2 linked regions of the Lonchura striata genome follow. The protein of the gene in region 1 purifies or fractionates together with the protein of each later gene. This does not show direct contact. Links are inferred from orthologs where the notes say so. Each region holds a gene or a part of one and is shown on either strand. Other genes may lie near its edges. The genes, in order: RPP40 and RPP25.

The links.
Region 2: the proteins of RPP40 (region 1) and RPP25 purify together in Homo sapiens (affinity purification with mass spectrometry; 3 studies listed by BioGRID and IntAct, counting the BioPlex papers as one, with this or other methods). This does not show direct contact. The link is inferred for Lonchura striata from reciprocal best matches to the Homo sapiens genes RPP40 and RPP25.

Annotation. Positions count from the first base shown.
Region 1 is NC_134603.1:94,111,173-94,122,098, reverse strand, and holds the start of RPP40 (ribonuclease P protein subunit p40), read right to left. Parts: upstream 4,821-10,926; 5' UTR 4,820-4,820; coding exon 4,700-4,819; intron 2,727-4,699; coding exon 2,582-2,726; intron 1,686-2,581; coding exon 1,617-1,685; intron 1-1,616. UniProt on the Homo sapiens protein: Component of ribonuclease P, a ribonucleoprotein complex that generates mature tRNA molecules by cleaving their 5'-ends. Also a component of the MRP ribonuclease complex, which cleaves pre-rRNA sequences.
Region 2 is NC_134613.1:5,874,125-5,884,583, reverse strand, and holds RPP25 (ribonuclease P protein subunit p25), read right to left. Parts: upstream 4,051-10,459; 5' UTR 3,561-4,050; coding exon 2,937-3,560; 3' UTR 2,149-2,936; downstream 1-2,148. Other genes in the region: COX5A (cytochrome c oxidase subunit 5A, mitochondrial), read right to left, coding at 281-365. UniProt on the Homo sapiens protein: Component of ribonuclease P, a ribonucleoprotein complex that generates mature tRNA molecules by cleaving their 5'-ends. Also a component of the MRP ribonuclease complex, which cleaves pre-rRNA sequences.

The sequences.
Region 1 (10,926 bases):
TCATGTTCAACATGCACTGCTCAACTAAATAAACAAAAGCAGTTCCTCCAAGTCCAGTGGGACTACTTACACTGAGTAAACTACGCCTGTTAGCGATGAGCTGATACATGCTGGAACAACCCTGCTTCTGTTCTCATAAACCAGAACTGGCTGCTGCTGCTTGGTACAGAGGTACACAACAGCTCCCTCTCTAACACAGTCCTTGGGCTCTACTGCACAAGTAACAGCACAACACGAAACACAAACAAGAAATACTGCAGAGGAAGAGTTCAGACAGTGACATCACCAGGAACTGTAACACTGCCTCTGCAACAATTGTGCACAGCCTGTAACACTTGTATCACACAAACTCCATCACTATCAATTATGCATTTTGCCAGGATTGTGCTAACAGACATATAAATAATTCTTTGGAACAATCTGAATTTACTCATGTCCTCATGGGCACCCGTCATATTACAGCTTCTCACGCTGGAGGGCAGATAGACCGGTCTGTATTTCTATCATATCTTATATACTGTTAAACAGAAATAAGATTATGTAGTTGAAGCTCAAAATAGCTTCTTTTTCTCACCTGAGATGTGGGACATTTTATGATGTCTTATCACAAAACTGTGATACAACTGAAACAGACTTTTAACATGTTACATAGTTCTCAGGAAATCACAGAATCCTCACAAAATCATCAAACGGTTTGGGTTGGAAGGGACAGTAAAGATCATCCAGTTCCATCCCCTCTACCATGGGCAGACACACCTTCAGGTTGCTCAGGAGCAGGCTGCTCAAAGCCCCATCCAACCTGGCCTTGAGCACTTCCAGGGATGGGGCACCACAACTTCTATGGGCAACCTGTTCCAGGGCCTCACCACACTCACAGTAAGGACTTTTTTCCTGATGTCCAATCTAAACCTACCCTTCTCCAGTCTGAATCCATTCCCCCACATCCTACTGCTACATGACCTGTTAAAAATTTCCTCTGTGGTTTGCTTCCAGGCAGGCGCTCTGATTCTCCCCAGAGCCATCTCTTCTCCAGGCTAAACAACCCCAGCTCTCCCAGCCTGTCCTCAAAGGAGAGGTGATCCAGCTCTGTGAGCATCTTTGTGACCTCCTCTGGACTTGTTCCATCAGGTCCGTGTCCTTCCTCTGCTGGGGACCCAGAGTTGAATGAAGTACCCAAGGTGGGTCTCATGAGAATAAACACTTAAAAAGTGTTCCTAAGCAGTGCTGATAACTTTCTTTTTTGGTACAAAATTCTGTCTTAAAGACCAGTAGGAAACAAGAAGTTGGAATTTAATGTTTTCACAAAGATAATTCCCTGTAGCAATTGCAATTATCGTTGAAGCACTGACAATCTGACTATACATAAATGAAGCTGATTTTTATTCCTCTTTAATTTCCTTTAGATGAGACAAAAAATTTAACAGCATGAATGAAAAAAGAGAGCTAAAATTAGTATTTTCCCATTTCACATGTATTTCTAACAAAGTTATCAATTACAGTAAGCATTATTTTTCAGTTTACATCATTCCAAATTTAAAAAAAAAAACAAAAAAACAAATAAACAACCCAGACCACAATTGACACATATTACTAAAAACAAAACAAATCCTTCATACCATTTGGTAGCAGAGCTGCAGTATTATCTTGATCAATTTTTGTCTTATAGGTAAGTGCATAGCATGAACCTTTAACAGTAAAGCAGAAAAACATGAGATTAGACAGTCTGTAAAGACAGACATGACAAAAGAAACAATTCACTTCAAGACAACCAAACATGACAAACACCATCTGAATCACTCTTGTGTTTTCATTAATTTTCTCCCACCTTCTCAAGCAAAATGGCATTGTTATTATTTTTAAAAACCCTGTTCTCGCAATATTTTAAAGGACCTATAATAGGGTTAATTATTAATAATTACTAATAGGTTAATAATAATCCCCGATATGAAAACATTTTACTTCCTTCTGTGACCTCTGACTCTCCACAGTCATCAAATGGAAAACCCTATTTTTTCCCAGACATATTTTTATTACCAGTCCAAACAAAGACAAAGTGGCTGGGCAGAGACTGTAACTTTCTTTGCATCCTCTTTGCTCTTACTGGGTAAGAATGAGCTGTCACAGCTCTCTTAGTGAAATATAAAAAACAAGGAAGCATATTTTTCTCTTGCCTGCTGTGGAACACAGCTCAGCACAGCTCTGTGTTGAGACATGAAGGAACAAAAAAGGGAGAAGGAAGTTTTCTATAAGAATCTGTACAAAAGTGAGGTGTAGAAGAAACAAGTGTGAGGATACATGGAAGCCCTCTTGATAGCTGGCTTTCAGAATTGAGGTGGAAGAGAGAGAAATTTATTAGGAAGAATCAGAGGAGTTTTAGACCCTGTGGGTGTAAACAGATGTTGTCACACGTGACAAAGCAGAAAAAAGCATATAAACAAATTAATGCAGAATTTTCTTAGTGCTTTTCCTTTCCTTCCTTTAAAACACTTTTCAGAATAAATAATAAGACTATTAAAAATTTTGCTGTGCTATAAAAAGGTACATTATGATTGTATTTGCTCTGTTTTGATTTCCTCCTTACCTTTCTTCACAAAAGCATCAATGAATTCATGAGCGACCAATTCATGAATGGGTAAACTCCTCACCAGGTAGTACTCTCCAATATCTGCAATTGTGCTTTTCAGCACTTCGGGCAGCAGGCCACATTCCGGGATCAAAAAAGACACCTGTTCAGAGGATATTTGTAATACAAATCCTATCCTAAAACCTGTTCTGAAAAAAACTCCAACCAAACAAAACTACAAGAAATACAAAAGAAAACCTCTACTTTTCAAAGATGGATCAGTATATTATATCATAATGGAATGGAAAAAAAGTAGTATCAGGCTACTGTCTTCAAAATGTATCAATTTTCATAGTCTCCAGGTACACTAAATACATTATTTGCTGGTTTGGGTTTTGGTTGGTTTGTTTGTTTTTTGTTTGTTTGTTTGTTGTGGTTTTTCCCCCCTTTTTTTTTTCTATACAATAGCATTTGATGTATTATGTAAAGACATGATCTCACACAGCATGAGTTAACAGAAGATTTCGTTTCACATCATTACACATTTTAGCTTGATGTCGCACTGGGACACCTTCAGCCCATGCTGGAGTACTTGTTAAAGCAGTTGCAACTAAAAATGTATGCTAACCATTTCTGTAATCTCAGTGGAAAAGCAAAGACCAAAGTAGAATCTTCAATTTACCTTTTGCTTAAAACCTTCCCCATACATTTTCCATAGACCAAGAGAATCCTGAAGTATGGCAGAAGAGGGAAATAAGGTAATATCTGGCAAGTAATAGATGGGCAAGTATGAAGCCTCAGAGGCAGCATAAAGGTATGTCTCCTTGCTCCTCCCTCCATCCCTCAAAAAACTTATTTCCCAAAGCTTTTGAAGACCAGGTGTGTATCTCCCTTGGCACACATGTTCAAGAGAAGAACGGACTGACAAACGAGCTGCCTTCCATGCCGGTAGAAAGCTTTCTGATTAGCTGCTAAAAAAGGTCCCAGAAGTCAGAAACAGTTAACAATTAGCCCAGAGAGTTACAGGGTATGAGAAGGGAGTTATCAAATAGGGTCTTGCCTGATTGCTGCAAAATGTGGAATAGCTACAACTTTTCTTAAGGAAGGATGTTCTTTGATGCGTGGCCTTTGTACACTTTCATGCCTAATCAACAAGAAGGGAGATTTAATCCATGAAACGAGAGCACAGCTAACAAGCCCTAAGTGAAGTCCAGGTCTCTTTGTTAACCTTTAGGGCTGGACATGTTTCAGTGATCTCAGACCTAGGGTGAGGTTAACAAAGCCTGGGGAGAAGGATGTACCACTGATAGTGGGCAGAAAGAACGCAGAATTTATGGGCCACAAAGGCATTTAGCAGAACTCTCAAAATAAGTAAGAAACTTAATAAACCCAGCAACTCTGCTGAATCAGCTCTGAGTGGATAAAAGGCAATTCCGGCAGGTAGAGATCTCGGCCACCGACCCCAGAAACCCCCTGACTCCTAAGCTGAGAAAGACTGAGCATGCAGATTAATTAGCATGTGAGACTCACTAACCAACAGAAGATAGTACTAATTAATGAAAGAACTATGTAACTTGTATCTTGTTTGCTAAAATGCATAAATAGTGAAACGCTTTGATAGGTGGTGTGCTTGACTTGCGGAAACCTCCGCCTTGCGCCCTGCGCGGAATAAGCGATGTCTCTTTCCTAAACTGGACCCTGCGCCGTGTTTAAAGAGCTCCTAAAACCCGCACCATCACCTCTCCCACCGGCTCACCCCTCTGCTCCTCCTGCCTGCTCCTGGAGGAAGGGAGGAGTTGGTTTCTCCCATACTGAGCGAGACCACAAACACAAAGGGGGATAATTTGATAATTTGTACACCCCGCCCCCCCAAAAACGAGGCGCGCGGGCCACCTCTGGCAAGGACGGAGGAGCCCCCACAGAACACCGAGCCTGGCGCGAGCGGGGCGCCGGCAGCGCGCCCTGGAGCGGCTGGCGGGCAGAAACCCCGGGGACGGCGGCGTGGGCAGCCCCGATCCTTCCCTTCCCTTCCCTTCCCTTCCCTTCCCTTCCCTTCCCTTCCCTTCCCTTCCCTTCCCTCCCCTCCCCTCCCCTCCCCTCCCCTCCCCGCCGCCCTGAGGGGATCCCGCCACTCACGCGGCAGCTGTAGGCGTGGTCCCGCACGTGCGCCGCGTGCCGCGAGCGCGGGTGGCGCGCGTGGCCGCGCTCGCACACCAGCAGGTGCCGCGGCGCGCGCCCGAGCTGCGCCGGCTGCATCCCGGGTCCCGCCCGCCTTCCTCCTCCTCCTCCTCCTCCTCCTCCTCCTCCTCCTCCTCCTCCTCCTCCGCCGCCGCCGACCGGGAGCTGCCAGACGCGGCGAGGAGGGCCGGGAAGGGGCCGTGCCGTGAGGTCACGTCCGCCGGCTCCGGCGGCGCAGCCGCTTCCGCTGTGGCGGCGGCGGGGCCGCGGCGGCCGCTGTCGCCGGTGCCCTGCCCAGCGCCGGTGGCCGCTCGGGGCTCTCGGTCCCTGCGGGCTCTGAGCAGCCTCGGCACGGATCGGACACCGACCCCGCAGGGGCTGGGTGTGCATCTGCAGAGTGCGCGGTGGTTTAAGCGCGGCGGTGGGTCAGTGCCCGGAGGGAGCGGGAGAGGCACCTTTTCCAACAGCCTGGAGTGACAGGACAGGGGCAGTGGCTTCAAACTGAAAGAATGTAGAGTTAGATTAGATATTAAGATTAAATTCTTTACTGTGAGGGTGGCGAGGCACTGGAACAGATTGGCCAGGGAAGCTGTGGACGCCCCATGCCTGGAAGTGTTCAAGGCCAGGTTGGACAGAGCTTTGAGCAGCCTGGTGTACTGGAAGGCGTGTCTGCCCATGGGAGAGGGTATGGAGCTGGATGAGCTTTGTTGTCCCAACCCCAAGCGTTCTCTGACTCCCGAGTAGCCCAGCAGGCTGAGCCAGGCACCGGGGCGCCTCTCCTGTCGGTCTGCTCAGGCACCGCACAAGAGCCATGGAGTGCGACCCTGCCTTGGATGTGTTGTGTTGTCTCGCCGCTCCTTCTGAATGTTGTACATTTCACACAAAGCATACACGAAAATTCCGGCTTTCCGCCTTCCTGCAGTGTTTATTTTGCCGGTCCCCTGGCTTCGCGGCTTCCAATTCAATTTAAAATGGCACCGAGCAACTTTTTGGGTACTTGCCGTTTCTGTAGCCAGCAGAGTCGCTAAGTGCGGCGCTTCTGGCTCCTTAGGCTAACTCAGCCCCCGGTGTCTCAGGGCATGAGCTTTCCGAGTGCCCGTGTGCTTGAGGGACACCGGGACATCGCTGCTGCTGCTGCTCCGAGCTCGGAGGTTTGTGCCCTGCGCCGAGGTGAAAGCCGCACCTCGGGAGGTCCTTGCCTCCTTAACGCCGTGGAGGAGGGCTGAAGTCTGCCCTGCCCGTATAAATCAGATTGACTGGATTATTACGAATCAAATCAAGGCTGTGTAAAATCACAGTAGCCTTCTAAGCATGCAAGCGTTAATGGGGAAGGAGCGACATGATTAATGTCAGTTGTTATCACACCCTCCGTGGGCAGACGAGCCTCGCACTGCAGCGATCAGGAAGCCTGTGCTACTAAGGGGTGAAAAGTTCAAGCCTTCGATCAATAAGCCCGAGAGCCAGGCAGGAAAATTCAGCTATACTCAAAGCAGCATGTGGAGGGTTTGTTTATTGTTTGTTTGATTTGATTTTTTTTTTGGCGGGGAGGGGCCGTTTTTGTGGGGTGTGTTGGGGCTTTTCATGTGCCTCTCTATGCTGATACAATTTATGCTTTCTACTGAGGATACGAATGGATGGGAAGAGACTTGAAGAAGAAATATGTTGGGGAAGGGTCAAGAGAGTCAAGATGCGTGGTTGTGTATTCAGCGTTAAGTCCGTATTTTATGGATTCTGGCAGGAGTGTAGCTCGCTGCAGCACAGTGGAGCACTGAAGGAGATTTGCATCACTGTTCAGTCAGTTTGGTTCATATGTCAGGCAATTAATTTTAACCCACCCATAGTTATAGATATTTGCTGTCCTATTATAGAGTATGTGTGTTTTAGAGAACTCCCTGAAGACACCGAACTACATTAAAAACCCACTTAGAAGTCCAGTAGTCTGTGTTGTAACACACAGAATCTCCCTATCTTTAAATGAGACATAAATCATGTATATATATGTATGTGTCTATACTAATTGTTGGTTAATGCTGACTTTTTTATAGTCATTGTTACAGTTTTATGAGTAATTTGGTATGGGATTTCTGTATATTGTAAAAAACAAAAAAACCCCCCAAAAAAACAAACCCTAAAAACAAAAAACCACACCAAAACACAAAAAACCCAAACCCTTTTAAACTTTAAATACTTTAAATAATTTAAGGCGTAAAGCTATCACAATTTTCCTAAGGATTTAAAACCTGTGACAGGGTAATGCAGTTTTACAGCAACTCAGTTTCTGCATGCTTCAAGACAGTTACAGGATATAGTAAAGAGGAAAGGACTGTCTTGAGGCAACTTGTAATAAGTTGGAATACAGAAGGATCTCTCAAGTACTTTCTGGGACTGGTGAAATTTGATTCTGATTTTGTAAAAAATGACTGAGTTTGGAAAGAAAAGTTGGATCTTCACATTATGTACAGTATCTCTTTTTGTGAAGCCCTGCTTCTTGTATATACCTTTATCACTATGGAAGAAAAATCTTAAAAGCTGGATTTTATGATTTAAAAACAACATTATTACAATACTTAGAGTTTCATTAAATCAAATCTAAACAAGTATTTGTCACAGACCTTTGATATTGGTTTGTGTCTTTAAGATGAATCAAAATATTTTTCCTTTCAGTCACTTTTTCTTTCTTAAATAGTTTTGACTGCAGAAGAGAAGGAAGGAAGTTGTCTAAATCTTTTAACCTCGGCTATTATAATGAGTAATTGTCAAAACAGAAACAAATAGGTACCTCTGGTGCTGTGTTAATCTAAAAATAATAAAAGGCATAAGACTGAAAACCAGCAATTTACTTGATCAGCACCAACTGGTTTTTTTCATGGAGGAAAGTGGAAAGATGGTGAAGATGTGGACAGTTAGCTTTATAACCTGTGTTTTACAGACTTTAGTCCATGTATTCAGAGCAGTGATGGACTGTAAAAAAGGTCCCTCTCAGACTTGCTCTTTAAGGGGCTTACAGACAAAGCTCTGCCGAGCTACTCCCCAAAGCAGCCATTCAAGCCAGGAAGATCAGTGAATGCTAACCATGGACCAAGTTGTTTGATTTGGTTAAAATGCCATAACCAGCCAACCAACCATCCAACCAACCAGCCAACCAACCAACCATCTAATCTGTTTTCCTTGGAGTTAAGCCCTCAGACATCTGGGAAAACTCCTACTCAGTTTTGTGGTATTACAATTGCAGAAGAAATGAGAGTGATAATTCCTCCAACAAGGTTCTGGGGAGCAGGAGTGTGTTTCATCTATATTCAAGCAGGGTCATCCCTTCCACTTGCCTCCCAAGGATCAGATTTTGTCAGGGCCCTGCATGATACTGGGGAATTTTCACACAGTTTCTCTCTCCTCCTAAACAGATTAATTGTCCTTCACATAAGGGCTAATATGAGGCACATGTACTCTGTTTTCTTGCAGTAGGTAACAAACTGTGGCCATGTTCCTCTAGTTGCCCCTTCATCTACTGGGAAACATCCTAGGGAGCACTTCCACACCCACCTTGACCTTCCATGGGCAATAAAGATGTCCTTCTCCTTGTGCCATAACAAATGGGGAAAATGTTGCATTTTCCACTGCGAATGTCTCCTCTCCTGGTGTGACAGATAACAGGCACCATTTCCCTTCAAACTGAATAACCAATTAACACCATGGTGTTCAACTCATCGTAGCAGTTTTGTTCTCAATCTGTACATAATTTTCCCCATTATATGAGCTGGTGTGCTAAAGGATATTAATTGTCCCTGCAGAAATTGTCTTGATAATATCCTTAAAACATTTTATTTCTAGTAACATTAGTACTGCTCCTGGAATTGCTGCAGAGCACACTGTTACTTGAATGAACATCATGAAGATACAGAATGCAAAGCAAAGAAAAAATATTACTAAGCATTCCTTCCTGTCCATATCTTAAAAAAAAAAAAAGAAAAAGGTAAATGGTGGCACAGAAAGTTAAAAGTATGATAAAAGTAGGATGAATTTTCTCTTACAATGAGTGCAGAATACTTCCTGTCACAGCTCAAGCTTCAAGGAGAGGATTTGCCATTTCCACCAATAAAGTAGTAATATTTCTTGTACCTGTTGTTCTTTCTTTTGTGTATTACTGCATACTATTATCAAGTCTTGGGATTGCAAGGCCACTGGCATTTTTATCTTGCTAAACTGTTTCTCTGACACCCCCAAATTATAAAAAGTCCTGTGCTGCACTTCACACCAATCTTGTGTGGGGCTGACCTTAGCTGTTTCCACAAAGGATGAGTGCCAAAGTTTGGCCCTGCGAGTTTAGTGCAGTAACATTTCAATCACCCTTTTGCAATGCAACATCAGAGCCACATGGTTGCTGGTTTCAAGCCCAGCAAAGCTGGAGATGGTGCCAGCAGAGGAGGAAAGCCACAGGGAGAGGAGCCTGTTCTTTCAGCCAGCTGGAAGCCTCTTTCTCTATGGATGGAGAGTTTGCCTCTGTTCTCAAAAAGCCGTTGCTGGAGTGCCTGCATTCACGATTTCTCTCCCTAATATTATCTATTAAATCAAGCAACAGAAACTGTAGTATTTAAAATAACCCAAGATTTCAAAAAAGATCCTAACCCACAAATAAAACAAAATCATGTTCCTTGATAAGAGCAGTACTTTCAGCAAGATCTACCTTTTTAGGTACAAGTGTGGCATTATCAAAAGTTTAAAATTAGAACTGTACATTTCATTCATTTGAGCAAGATTCAAAGTTTCAGCCTAGAAGTACAATCTACGCTGATATTAAATTGGCTCATGGGAGCAATGGGAGCAAGTTTTGTTTAGGAAGTATTTAAAAGAATATGTGAAGGTTAACCATCAAGGTAAATACACAAGGTAATTATGACTATAAACACATGAGAGCAATATGAGAAGCCAGGAGCACAGGTAAGAGTATGACATAGAAGTGTGTATGTATATGGGAGTTGAAGCCATAACTACAGAGGGTTATTTTTTCCTTCTGGTCCCCAGGATTTTGAAGACTGGGGACTTCTCAAGCACCTTTCCTGGGAGGTGTGCACAGTTAAGACATTAAGCAAGCAACCTGTTTTAGTGTCCTTTCCTTTTTCTATTTTTCTTCCCTAGAATGTTCATACTTACATTCTCTTTTACTGTTTTTTTTTTTTTTAATATTCTAGGTTTAGTTTTTTTGTTTTTGTTTTTGTTTTTTGTCCAGAATGACTCTGAGGTCTTAGTATTTCTTTTTTTAAGCCCATATTTCAAGTGAAATATAAAAAATTTGCATCTTGTTGCAGCTGAGTGTCAAAACTTTATGGGTCTTCCTGTCCTGTAACATGAATCAAGAAATGACGACTACATGTATTCATTTGTAAACCATAGTGATGAGACACCCCCCTGACATATGGCAGGAAAGAGACATGGACTTTTGCACAAAGTCATTAATCTTCAAATTTCAAAGTAAGACAGGCATCACAGTTAAATAAAAACACTCTGCCTTTGGCCAAGATAAATCTTTTGCTCTTGGAATGCAAAGGAAGCGATTTCTGTTGGGGAATGAATGCATCCTTCTTGTGGAAGAAATAAGAAATACCATTTTTTCTTCATTTTCCAGGATAACTAATAAAATTAGGTGAAATTAAATGTAATCTTCAAGGACAACAGGTAAAAAAAAAGGAAAACTGCAAAGGGGAGAAAGTCACTCCTGAAATAGGTTTTTGAGGTAATTTAGCCTTTTAAATCACTGAATCCATTTAATTTTCACAACGAAAATTAATCCATCTCTCTTAAAAGTCTTGTTCAATTCATCAATTCATTAATCCCCATTGGTTTTTAATTTGCTCCTCCTTGTTTCTCCAGCCTAATTAATAATTCAAAAAATAACTAAGGGCTCAAAAGATTGGTTCTCTAAGACTAGTCTAGCTAATCTTGATCCTCTTGAGTTATCCTTAGATTTGCAAGTTAAATGCTTGGATGGAAAGGGTCTGGGCAGTACTGCTTATGTGATTAGGAAATAGTGGTATGCACGGGAGAGGGACATTAACTACCAGAAATCAAAGCAATGAGTCCACTGAGATGAGTGGGCAGTGATCTACTTACTGCTTGCTGTTGGGAAGAGTATAACACAGAGCAGTGAAAACTTTCTGTTCACTTTAACTGTTCCCAGACACTTCTGTTTC
Region 2 (10,459 bases), on another chromosome or scaffold:
CGGTGCGGCAGTGCCCGGTGCGGCAGTGCCCGGTGGCCGCTGAGGCGGTGCCCGGTGCCCGCCGAGCCGGTGCCCGCTGAGGCGGTGCCCGGTGCCCGCTGAGGCGGTGCCCGGTGCCCGCCGAGCCGGTGCCCGCTGAGGCGGTGCCCGGTGGCGGCGGCCCGCGCAGGCCGCGGGGTCACGGCAAGGACACGCAGGGCCGCGTGGCCCCGCTCCCCGCCCCGCCGGCAGCCCGGGCGCCGAGCGCGGCGGCAGGGACGGAGACAGTGCGGCCGCTCACCTGCAGGGCCGGCGGGCCGGCGGACGGCGGCGCGGAGGCCGGAGACGGCGCAGCGGCGGAGCAGAGAGGCGCTGGCGGCCAGCATGGCGGCGGGCTGTGAGGGGGGAAACAGCACCGGGGAGCGGGGGCGCGCCGCTGGGTCCCGCAGCGCACCGGGAGGGAGGGACGGAGGTGAGGGCCGAGGGGGGCCGCTGAGGCGGGTACGGCGGCGCGGCGGGGACGGAGGGGGAGCGTGGAAGGGCGGGAGGCGGCGGGGACGGGCTGGGGGCGCGGCGGGGCGGGACCGCCGCCATCTTGGGGCGGGGCCGGCCGCCATTTTGTGCGTGAGGGGAGCGAGTCCGCCGGCCCTTCACCTCGCCGAGGAGCGCCGCGGGAGTGTTTGGGCTGCTTTTTTGAGACGATCGGGCTCGGTCTGGAGGGGTTCGGGCTGTTGCCGCCCCCATTTATCCGAGTCCGCGCAGCCCCAGTGCAGCCTCTGCGTCCCTGTCAATGGGCACCCCGCACTCGGTCCCTGTGAGGGGAATGGGCTCAGAGCGGCTCGGCCGCGCCCGCCACCTCCCAGCTCTCCGAGTGTCCCTGTCCCCACACCGTGCGCTGCTGCCCTCAGCCACCGCCGCACCGACCCGGGCACGAAATCGCCACAAAACTCATCCCTGGGGCTGTGCCTCTGCAGTGCCGCACAAAACCACAAAACCGTCGTGATTATTCCACTCACCACGTCCCCCGGCATCATCATTCTCGTTTAAATACTTTTTTTTTTTAACAGTCCTTTTTTATTATTTTCCCCTGCAGGAAGTTATCAATCCGCAGCCAGCAAAGCAAGCAAGGAGGGTAAAATCCCCAGAGCTGCCTCTGTGATTGGAAACTACCTGTCAATGAAAGCCATTGAAGAGATCTTGCAAATGAACAAAATAAGGAGAAATAAGTGGTTTTTATTCTTGTTTCCTTGCTCGGAGAAATGTGAGGTGGCAGCAGTGAAGGTGAAGGGCTGTTAGTGTTTGACCATGTGACTCCCACAGTCTTCAGGTTCTGATCAGGGTGTTTACAGAGAGATTTATTAATTACAGGGTTTTAAATTAATTTTATTAGTAATTTTTAATGTATTTGGTGTAGGTGGCTGTACCTGGTGCTCCTGTGTGGGGTGAAGGGTTGATCATTAGATCCTTCAGATGGGGTCTGCACTGCATAAAGGAGCTGGGGGGAGCTGGATGGGATAGAGCCCAAAGCTTTACCATCCCCAAACCAACAACAACAACAAAAAAAGATCATTAACATAAAAACAAAACAGTTGGAAATTAATGTTCAAGTGAAGGGAATCAATCTGCAGTAGGACAGATAAGCACAAGCGTCTGGCCCGAGGAGCATCTGCCTGCTGAGGGAGATAACAAGGTCACTGCCTCACAAAACAGACCCTGCTTCCTCCTCTTCCTCCTCCTCTCCTTTCATTCCCACTCCCAGCCAAGCAAGCCCTTGACAAAGAGAGAACGCTGACTGTCCCTGTAGAGCAGGAGTGAGGCAGGGAGATAAGGCAGCTGCAGCCAGAGAATCCCTCACGTGGATTTTGGGAAGGGTTTGCTCCTTAATACCGATTAATTCATCCCGCAGTGCTGCTAGGCGCTGGGCAGAGGGAACCAGGTGGATCAAGGCTTGGCATCCCATAACACATCCCCCACATCTCCTCCGTCCCCCCTGGAACTGGGGCTTTGCCAGGTGCTGCTGTGCCGGCACAGGAGACCCCAGTCCCGTTCTTCCAAGGGACAGAGTCTGGCTGGGATCCCCTTGTTGAGGGCTGGCAGCAGCCTTCACTGTGCTGATCCGTGCCATGGCCAGCAGCCACGATGATCCCCCCTTTTTCCCATAGACATATCTATTTCTAAAGAGCTTTTATTTTCCATTCATTTCTCTTTACCCCCTGGAAGTAGCAGGGATTTTGCTCTGAAGCACTCTGCAGCCAAGGCACAACCCCAAAACCTCCTCATCCTGTGCTGGGCACTGCATCCAGTCACAATAATCCCCTGCCCAATGCTTCCATTGCCCCCAGCTTCCCACACCGTGGCTTCCCCGAGCTCCAGACCAGAGTATCCAGTGTGGGTTGTTTTATTTCCTTTTGCTGTCCCACAGGCAGGCAGCACAGTACAGTGCTTGGCTCTGTGGGTGCAGGGAGAGAACAACCCCTGTGCTTGTTTGGGTGATTTTTTTGGGATGAATCACAGTCTCACAGGATGCTGAGCCTGTCATTAGTAACTCCAACAGCTCCTCAGCGGCAGGTTTGATAATGAAGGTTTTATTCCAACAAGCTTGGAGCAAACCCATCTCTCCTGATGGATGAGGTGTTTGCAGTGGGGAGCGGTGTGGTGGTCCAGGCACCCCTCGGCTGCTCTGGCTCCCTGGGAGTTGCTGCAGGAGGTGGCTGGTGGTCACAGTGTCCCTGGTTGGCTGAATTAGAGGTCACCAGCTCCCCCCCACAGCCTCACCTGCTTCAATCCATGGAGGGTTTAACCGTTTAACACTCACGCCAAATCTGGGGACCCCCATCCACAGGGGTCAAAGCAGCAAGTGGGGACAGGTCAGGGGGAGTCTGCAGCCCACCAGTGACCTTGGAATGAGTGGATATTCCTGCCTCGATACCTGGCTGGTAGGGTGGGAGGCACTGGGGTCAGTGGTCCTGCTGGCCAGCAGTGGTCCCCGTGCCCCTGGGGCTGTCAGGCACCTGTACCTGCAGCTTCTTGGGCAGCAGCTCCTCGCAGGGAGGTGGCAGCGTCCGCTTCAGCCCCTTGGTGGAGGACCCCAGTGTGTCTTCTCCCGCCTCATGCCGGGGCTCGGGGGGCTGGTACCCCATCTGGTTGGGATCCAGGGGGTCCCGGGAGAGCAGGATGCAGATGGAGGGGACGTTCTTGTGGACAGTCAGGTTCTGTGCGGGGCCGTCGGGCGGTGGGTCCTGGTTCTCCCAGACCTCCAGCACAGTTTTGTAGCGTACCTTGGTGACCTGGTGGAGCCCTCCCAGCTTGCGCTTCATGATCTCCACGCAGGTGATGGTCTTGGTGACCGCCCTGCCGCAGCCGCTGAACACGATCTGCCGCCTGCCCTTCAGCTCCATCTGGGCCATGGCGAAGTTCATCAGGTTCCTGATCTTGCTGCCCTCCTTGACTTTCATCTCCACCACGTCCGGGGGCAGGTCTGGGAAGGGTAATGGCATCTCCTCCTCCGAGGTCCTCACCTTTCGGAAGTTCTCCATCCTGGACTGGGCAGCGGGCTTGGCTCTCCCTCCTTCGGCAGCCATCCTTCACCTCTTCCCGGTGGATCCACACAGGCTCCTAGCCCCCGGCAACCATAGCAGGGCTGACCTCGCTGCCCTCCAGCCCAGCCCTGTGTGCTGCAACCACCAGCCCTTTCTCCTCGGCTCTCCAGGGGCTGGCTGTGGGCTCGGTGGCAGTGCCAGAGGCTGTCTCCTGTGGGAGGCAGGGCTGCAGGATCCTCTGGGTGCTCCCAGTTGCTCTCAGCAGGGATAACAGCCAGCTCCAGCTCTTGGTGATGCTTGGGCTCCTCCGCTCCCGCTGCAGCACTCGCTTCTGCTGCTCTTTGCTTCATTCTGGACTTCAGCAGCCCCCAGAGCTGTTCTGTGTAATTAGCAGATCCTCCCCCTCTCCCTCCCCTTCCTCCCCTCCTCCTCCTCCTCCCCTGCTCAGCCGCCCATCCCAGCACCCTGCTCCTGCCTTCATCCCTGCCAGGCAAAGGGGAGGGCAGGGAACCCAGGTCTCTGTCCTGGAACAGAGAAGGGAAGGAGGGGAGGGTGGAAGGCAGAGGGAGAAGCTCACTCTTGCCTTCATAATGTTCCCAAAGTCCTGCCCCCTTAAAGAGAACCTGGTCCCTTCTCTCGGTGCTCGCTCCTCTCAAGGACGCCCACTGCTAACTGCAAATGTCACCCTGCCTGCCTGCCCTGCAGCATTCCCAGAGGGATGCGGAATCCCAGCCACGCTGTGTCCAGGGATGGCACAAAGATGCAGCAGGTACTTCAGGAAGTACTTCGGAGTCTGAGCTCGACCCTTGTTAGCCATGAGAGAAGCCACAGGAACCCGCAGCCAGGAGAAAGCCTGGCAGATGGCATCGCAGGCGAGCGTGCATCGAGTGTGCCAGGGCTCTGCTCCCCCCAGCACCCTGCTGCCTCAGCCCCGGCTTTGCCAGCAGGAAAACCTCTCAATTCCCAAAGCTCCGAGGAGCAGATGCCATGGCAGAGCTGGTTTTCATGGGCAATTTCTCTCCCTCTCTCCCGCTCCTCCTCCTTCCCCATCCCTCCCTCTCCCTGCAGCTCTCCCAGTCCCTGTCCCTCATTCATCCCCAATGTGGAGCTGCCCACTGCGGGCTCACCATTATATATACTGGCAACAAATCCCAGAAAATCCCTGCTGCAGGCTAGGAGATGTCCCCTTCCTGCCCCCAATCCCTTCCCAGAGCAGAGGCGATGTCCCTGCCCCAGGCTGGCCTTCTGCCCGCCCCTGTCACCTGCCTGTCCCCTCCCGCCCCGCTGGCCGGGGGATCATTGCACAGTGGAAAGACATGTGAGTATTGACTTGCAGTCAAATCTTATCGGCCTCTGGAGGCCCCTGGATTGGTTTCACTTCTAGCAGGGCTTGAAAAAAAAAACATAAATAAATAAATAAATAAATCATAAAATCGATCCATGTCTGCAAAGGTGAAGGCAGGATGTGGCTGTCACATCCTATCTGGGGAGAATCCCTCATCCCTGTGGTCCCCAAAGCAGCTTTCTATGTATACCACTGCCTAAATGGGGATGGATTTGGGACACCCCCTGATCCAACCACTGGACTGGGGTCTGGGTGGGTCTGTGGGATGGGATGGGATGGGATGGGATGGGACCCTCCATCCACAAGCAGTGTGCTGGAAAACCCCTGTAGATGCGGAGCATTGTTTCCCAATCCATCTAACCCTCCCTGAGGCGCCTTGGGCACAGAGGGAAACTGAGGCAGGGCAAGCAACACTCCTAGGCTCACCCCCAGCACCAGATCCAGGCTTTGAGCATTCCCAAGTCCCTTCTGATGCTCTGCAGTAGTGGGCAAACCTGTTCCCTGTGCTCCCACCATGGATTCCCCACTCCTACAAGACAAAACAATGACATTTCTCCATCTTTCCATTTGCCAACAAATCATGGAATCCATGCAGAAGGCACTTGGCTCTTTCTTTGGGCAGGCAGGGATGGATTAAGCCCCTCAGGGAAATTCCTGCCTTCAAAATGTGCTAAACCCCTAGGGAAATAATCGGGAAGGATTTCAGTGACTGAGAAATCCCTCAGGGTCATTATCCAGGGAGCCTGGGAGGGTTACATGGATGTGGAGAGCTGACAGCTCCAGGGCTCTGGGCAAGCCACGTGAATCCCTGGTGCTGGCTGAACCACCCAGCCCTTCTTTCCTGGCCCAGAACCAGCTCCTGCCTCCCGTGGCCCATTTTCCATGGCACCATGGCGCTTCCCCACCATCAGATGATGGAAGCAGCAGCAGCTTCTCCCCCCCTCCATCTCTAATTGCTGCTTAATGAACTCTGCTTATCGCAGCCTCCGAAATGGAGGCGGGAGAGGTGCAATCACAGAAAGGCTTCCAGAGGGTGCATTCCCCCCAAGGCCAAGGCTGTGCTGGGAGCAGGGGGGCATTAATGACAGGGGCTTATTTTCCCTCTGCAGCGCTTAAAATGTAAATGAAATTCATTATTAGCAACTCCGTTGCTAATTACCATCTGAAGCTATTCATTAGCCTGTCAGCTTATTTGTTGGAGGACAACAGTGTGGATGGGTTACTCCAAGCCAAGGAATAGCTGAAATGAGCTCAGTAGGGTGGGAAAGGAAAAGCAGAGATGGGGGGACAAAGGCACAGACAGCTCCAGCCGTGGGGAATCAGGGAAACAAAAGCTGGAAAAGAGGATGGGGAGTCCTTTAAAATGGAGAAGAAGCAAATGGGGAAGGCAGGAGTGATGAAAAAATAAGAGTAAAAGAATTACATGCTGAGTATTGTCTGTCTGCCCTCCTTGAGCAGCCACTCTGGTTACAGTGGGACCCACACCCAGAGAGTGTTTTCTGGTTCCCCTTTCCCATTACAGTTTCTCTCTGAGCATTCCAGTGCCATCCCAACCCCATGCCAGAGGATTTCCAAATCCCTGTGGGACCCTCTTGCCTGGTCCCAACCCCACAGGAGGTGTGAGCTTGGAAGAGCTGTTTGGGAGAGCAGCCAAGAGGAGAGCTTGTGGTGACAGGAATGGAGAGGGCTGCTGGATGCAGCACAGAGCCCAGACAGACCTGGAAAAGTGGGGAAAAAACCCCAGAAACATATTCCTAATGGAGATCAGAGCAGGTGGAGAGGAGCAGTAACCTGAGCCCCTGTCCTCCACCTGCCCTCTCCATATTTTCTTTCATGCAAGGTGGCCCTGGTTGGGAAGAGGACGGAAAGTGGGAGCATCCGATACAAGGAAAGTCTCGGTGCCATCGCCCATCTCTGCGTCACATCGGCGCAGCTCAGGTCTCAGCCTCTCATCACGTTGCACTCGGCAGCGGGCTGATGCCAGGGCACATTGCAACCCTGGCAAAAGGGGTGCACAGGCACCTCCAGGATGCCACAGCTGCAGGGATCCCCTGCCCTCATCCCAGTCAGGGTCCAGAGCTGCTGCTTCCCAGCAGCAGCCCCCTGAGGATACAGCCCAGGGCGCAGGGGCTGTGCCAAGATGCCAGAGGAACCCTAGGAGCACCCTAGGGTGGCACCAGCTCTCTGCTGAGTTCTTATCCCTGCCATAAGCAGAAAATTACAGAGCTCAAGATAATCCTCATTTTGAATAACCCAACGGTAAAAGAAAAGGGAAAAATCCCTTTCATAAGACAAATCCCTTTGCAGAGCTCCAGCATAATAAGAAGAGGGATGTTGTAAGGACCCTGAGGACATTAATAAACCTGAATGTTCCTCACCAACCCCATCTAGGACTCCAACCCCCTGTGCCCACGGCCCAGGAGCTCTTTTTAAGCTCAACCCAGGGGTCTCAGTCCTAGTCTCAGCTATGTCAGGACTGGTTTCTGGGTCAGCTGCAGCTGGTCTGGACTCCAACCTACCGACTGACACTAAACTGGACCTGTGGATTGATTTCCTTGTTTTTGAATCTGTTTGCTTGCTGAGACTTTGCTGCTTGATGCAGCCTTTTCTTTGGGCCTGCCTTTCCTGCCCAGCCTGCCCTGCTCAGGGAGTGTGGGATGGACAGGGAGGCTCTTCCACCTGTTATCCCTTGGCTCTCCAGGCATCCCTGTGAAGCAGGGGAGAACATATCCATTTGATTCCTGAATATCCCTGACTGGAAAACCTGCAGGCAGGCAAAAATGTGGCAGTGCCAAGGGCAAGGATCAGCTCTGTATGTGACCATTCCCAAAGCCTCAGTGGGATGGGAGGGTGCTGAGGCAGCAGAGATGCAGGTGGGGAGGAAATTCAGGTGAGAGAAAGCTGGAGAGAAAGAAATAAGGGACAAGAATTCAGCCCCAAATATCCAGTGTGCTCAGTGTCCACAGGCAGAGCCAGAGCAGCTCTCCAAGGCGCTGAGCATCTCCAGTGCTTGGCGGGAGTGGGAATCCATGATCCCAATCCCACCCCTTCCTTCCTTCCCCGCTGCTGGGCAGGGCATGGAGATGTGCAGGGGTCCCTGTTCTCTCAGGGGGACAGCTCAGGGTCCAGAAAGGGGTCAGAGTGGACAGCTGGGCCCCCTGCTATGGGGTCATCTGTGGCATGCTGGTTTTCCTGCTTCCCTCTATTTTACCATCTGTGGAGCAGGCATTTTCCCTCTTTCTGCCAGGTTTCCTTCCTTGCATGCCCACAGCAATGCTGTTCCCCTGCTGAAGGGGTTTGGCCACCAGGGCTCACTGGTGTAAAGAGATTTTGCTGCTTCCTTGCCCAGCTGTTCTCATCTTCCCGTGGTGGGATGTTGTCCTTACTGCCCCTCCATGACCCTTGAGGGTGGATGCTGGGAAGGGAAGATGATTTAGCTGTCAAATAAAGAAATTTTCACAACACTTCACTGATATTCTCACAAGCACTAAGGCAGGAGGTCCAAGTGGTGTGCACAGAACTCTGTGACACTGAGAACAAGGGACACAGCCTATGGAGCACTCAGCTGGTTTGGGACTTACATCCCTTTTAGGAGCTTCTGAACCTTGTCCCGTCTGTGAATCAGTCCAGTCCCTTCCCCTGCCCTCCACATCCCAACCTTGGCATCACTGGCAAAAGCAATCAACGTCTTCTGCCCTTCACACGAGCCATTAATTAATTACTGCTTCCAGAATGAAGCACATCAGGGCATGGGCATGGCGTACCCCAAGCTTGGCCCTGCTGGTTTCCCATTGCCTCCTGGATAGAGGGAGCCTGTGTACCCTGCCAGGGCTGACCCCAGGGCCCCTGCCCTTCTACCCACACAGTGCTTGCCATGCCCTGGGTAGGGATCATGCACTCCTGCCCCATAGAACCCCCATCCCTATAAAGCCCCTCAAGCCCACTCCCACCCCTATAGAGCCCCCACTCCTGTAAAGCCCCCCAAGCCCCATAGAGCACTCCTAGTGCCATGAAGCCCCCAGCCCTATAAAGCCCCCCAAGCCCCATAGAGCATTCCCAGCCCTATAAAGCCCCTCAAAGCCCATATAGCAGTCCCAACTCCATGAAGCCCCCAGCCCTGTAAAGGCCACCAAGCCCCATAGAGCTCTCCCAGCTCCATGGAACCCTCAGCTCTATAAAGCCCCCCAAGCCCCACAGAGCATTCCCAGCCCCATAGAGCACTCCCAGCCCTACAGAGCCCCCCAAGCCCCACAGAGCACTCCCAGCCCCACAGAGCACTCCCAGCCCTACAGAGCACTCCCAGCCCCATAGAGCACTCCCAGCCCCACAGAGCACTCCCAGCCCCATAGAGCACTCCCAGCCCCATGGAGCCCCCAGCCCTACAGAGCCCCCCAAGCCCCACAGAGCACTCCCAGCCCCACAGAGCACTCCCAGCCCCATGAAGCCCCCAGCCCTACAGAGCCCCCCAAGCCCCACAGAGCACTCCCAGCCCCACAGAGCACTCCTATCCCCACAGAGCTCCCAGCCCCACAGAGCCCCCCAAGCCCCACAGAGCTCCCAGCCCCACAGAGCCCCCCAAGCTCCACAGAGCACTCCCAGCCCTACAGAGCACTCCCAGCCCCATGGGGCCCCCAGCCCTATAGAGTCCCCCCAGCCCTACAGAGCACTCCCAGCCCCACAGAGGACTCCCAGCGCCATGGAGCCCCCAGCCCTACAGAGCCCCCCGGCAAAGGCCCCGCCCCTTCCCCTCGGCCCCGCCCCTCCATCCGGCGGCATCAGGACCCTGGACAGCGGCGGGCGCTCTCGCGAGATCCCGGCGCTGCCCATAGCCCGGGTGGCGGCGGCGCCGCAGTCTCGCGAGAGCGCGGTCGCTGCGGCAGGAGCAGCACCGGGCGGGCGGGCGGCCGCCGCCACCCGCCGGGGACCGGAGGGGACGGGACGGGTCACGCCACGTGGTGAGTCCCGGGAGTGTGGCCAGGGGAAACGCCGCGGCGTGAGGGCGCTGGATGCTCCCCCCTGGGGGGCTGACTGCCCTTTGCACCGACCTCCCGCTCTGCACCCCGCTTGCGGGGTGGGGGGGGGATGCGCGGCGTGGGGGCAGCCGCGGTGACCCTGCACACGCGTGGGTGCACCGGGGACCGAGCGGGGGTTGGGCCGCCCTTCTCCCGGATCCAGGCCGCTGCTGGGAGACTGCTTTTGGTGGGGATGCGTGGGGCATGCAGCCCTTCACGCGTGGAAATGCACGGGCAGCGATGCACGGCGAGGCCGAGCCCTGCCTGCCCTCCCCAAACCCACCCCACGCACCAGAAGTGTTTCTTCTCGCTGCCACCACCTATGCGATCCCCCGTCCTTTTTCCATCCACTCCACCATATTCCTAATTTTGCAAAAACACCCCAGCCGAATTTCTGGCTGTCCCGGTGCTTTCGCCCCACGGTGGCGCGGGTGTGGGGCCGGGGGTGCCTGGCCGTGTGTCCCCGCTCCCGACACGCGTGGGTAGGGGCGGCCGGGCGGACGTCACCGCGCCCGAGGGGCTCGTATTTATAGCGCTGGCGGGATGGAAGCATCCGGGGGCTGCCGGCCGATGCCGGGGACGGC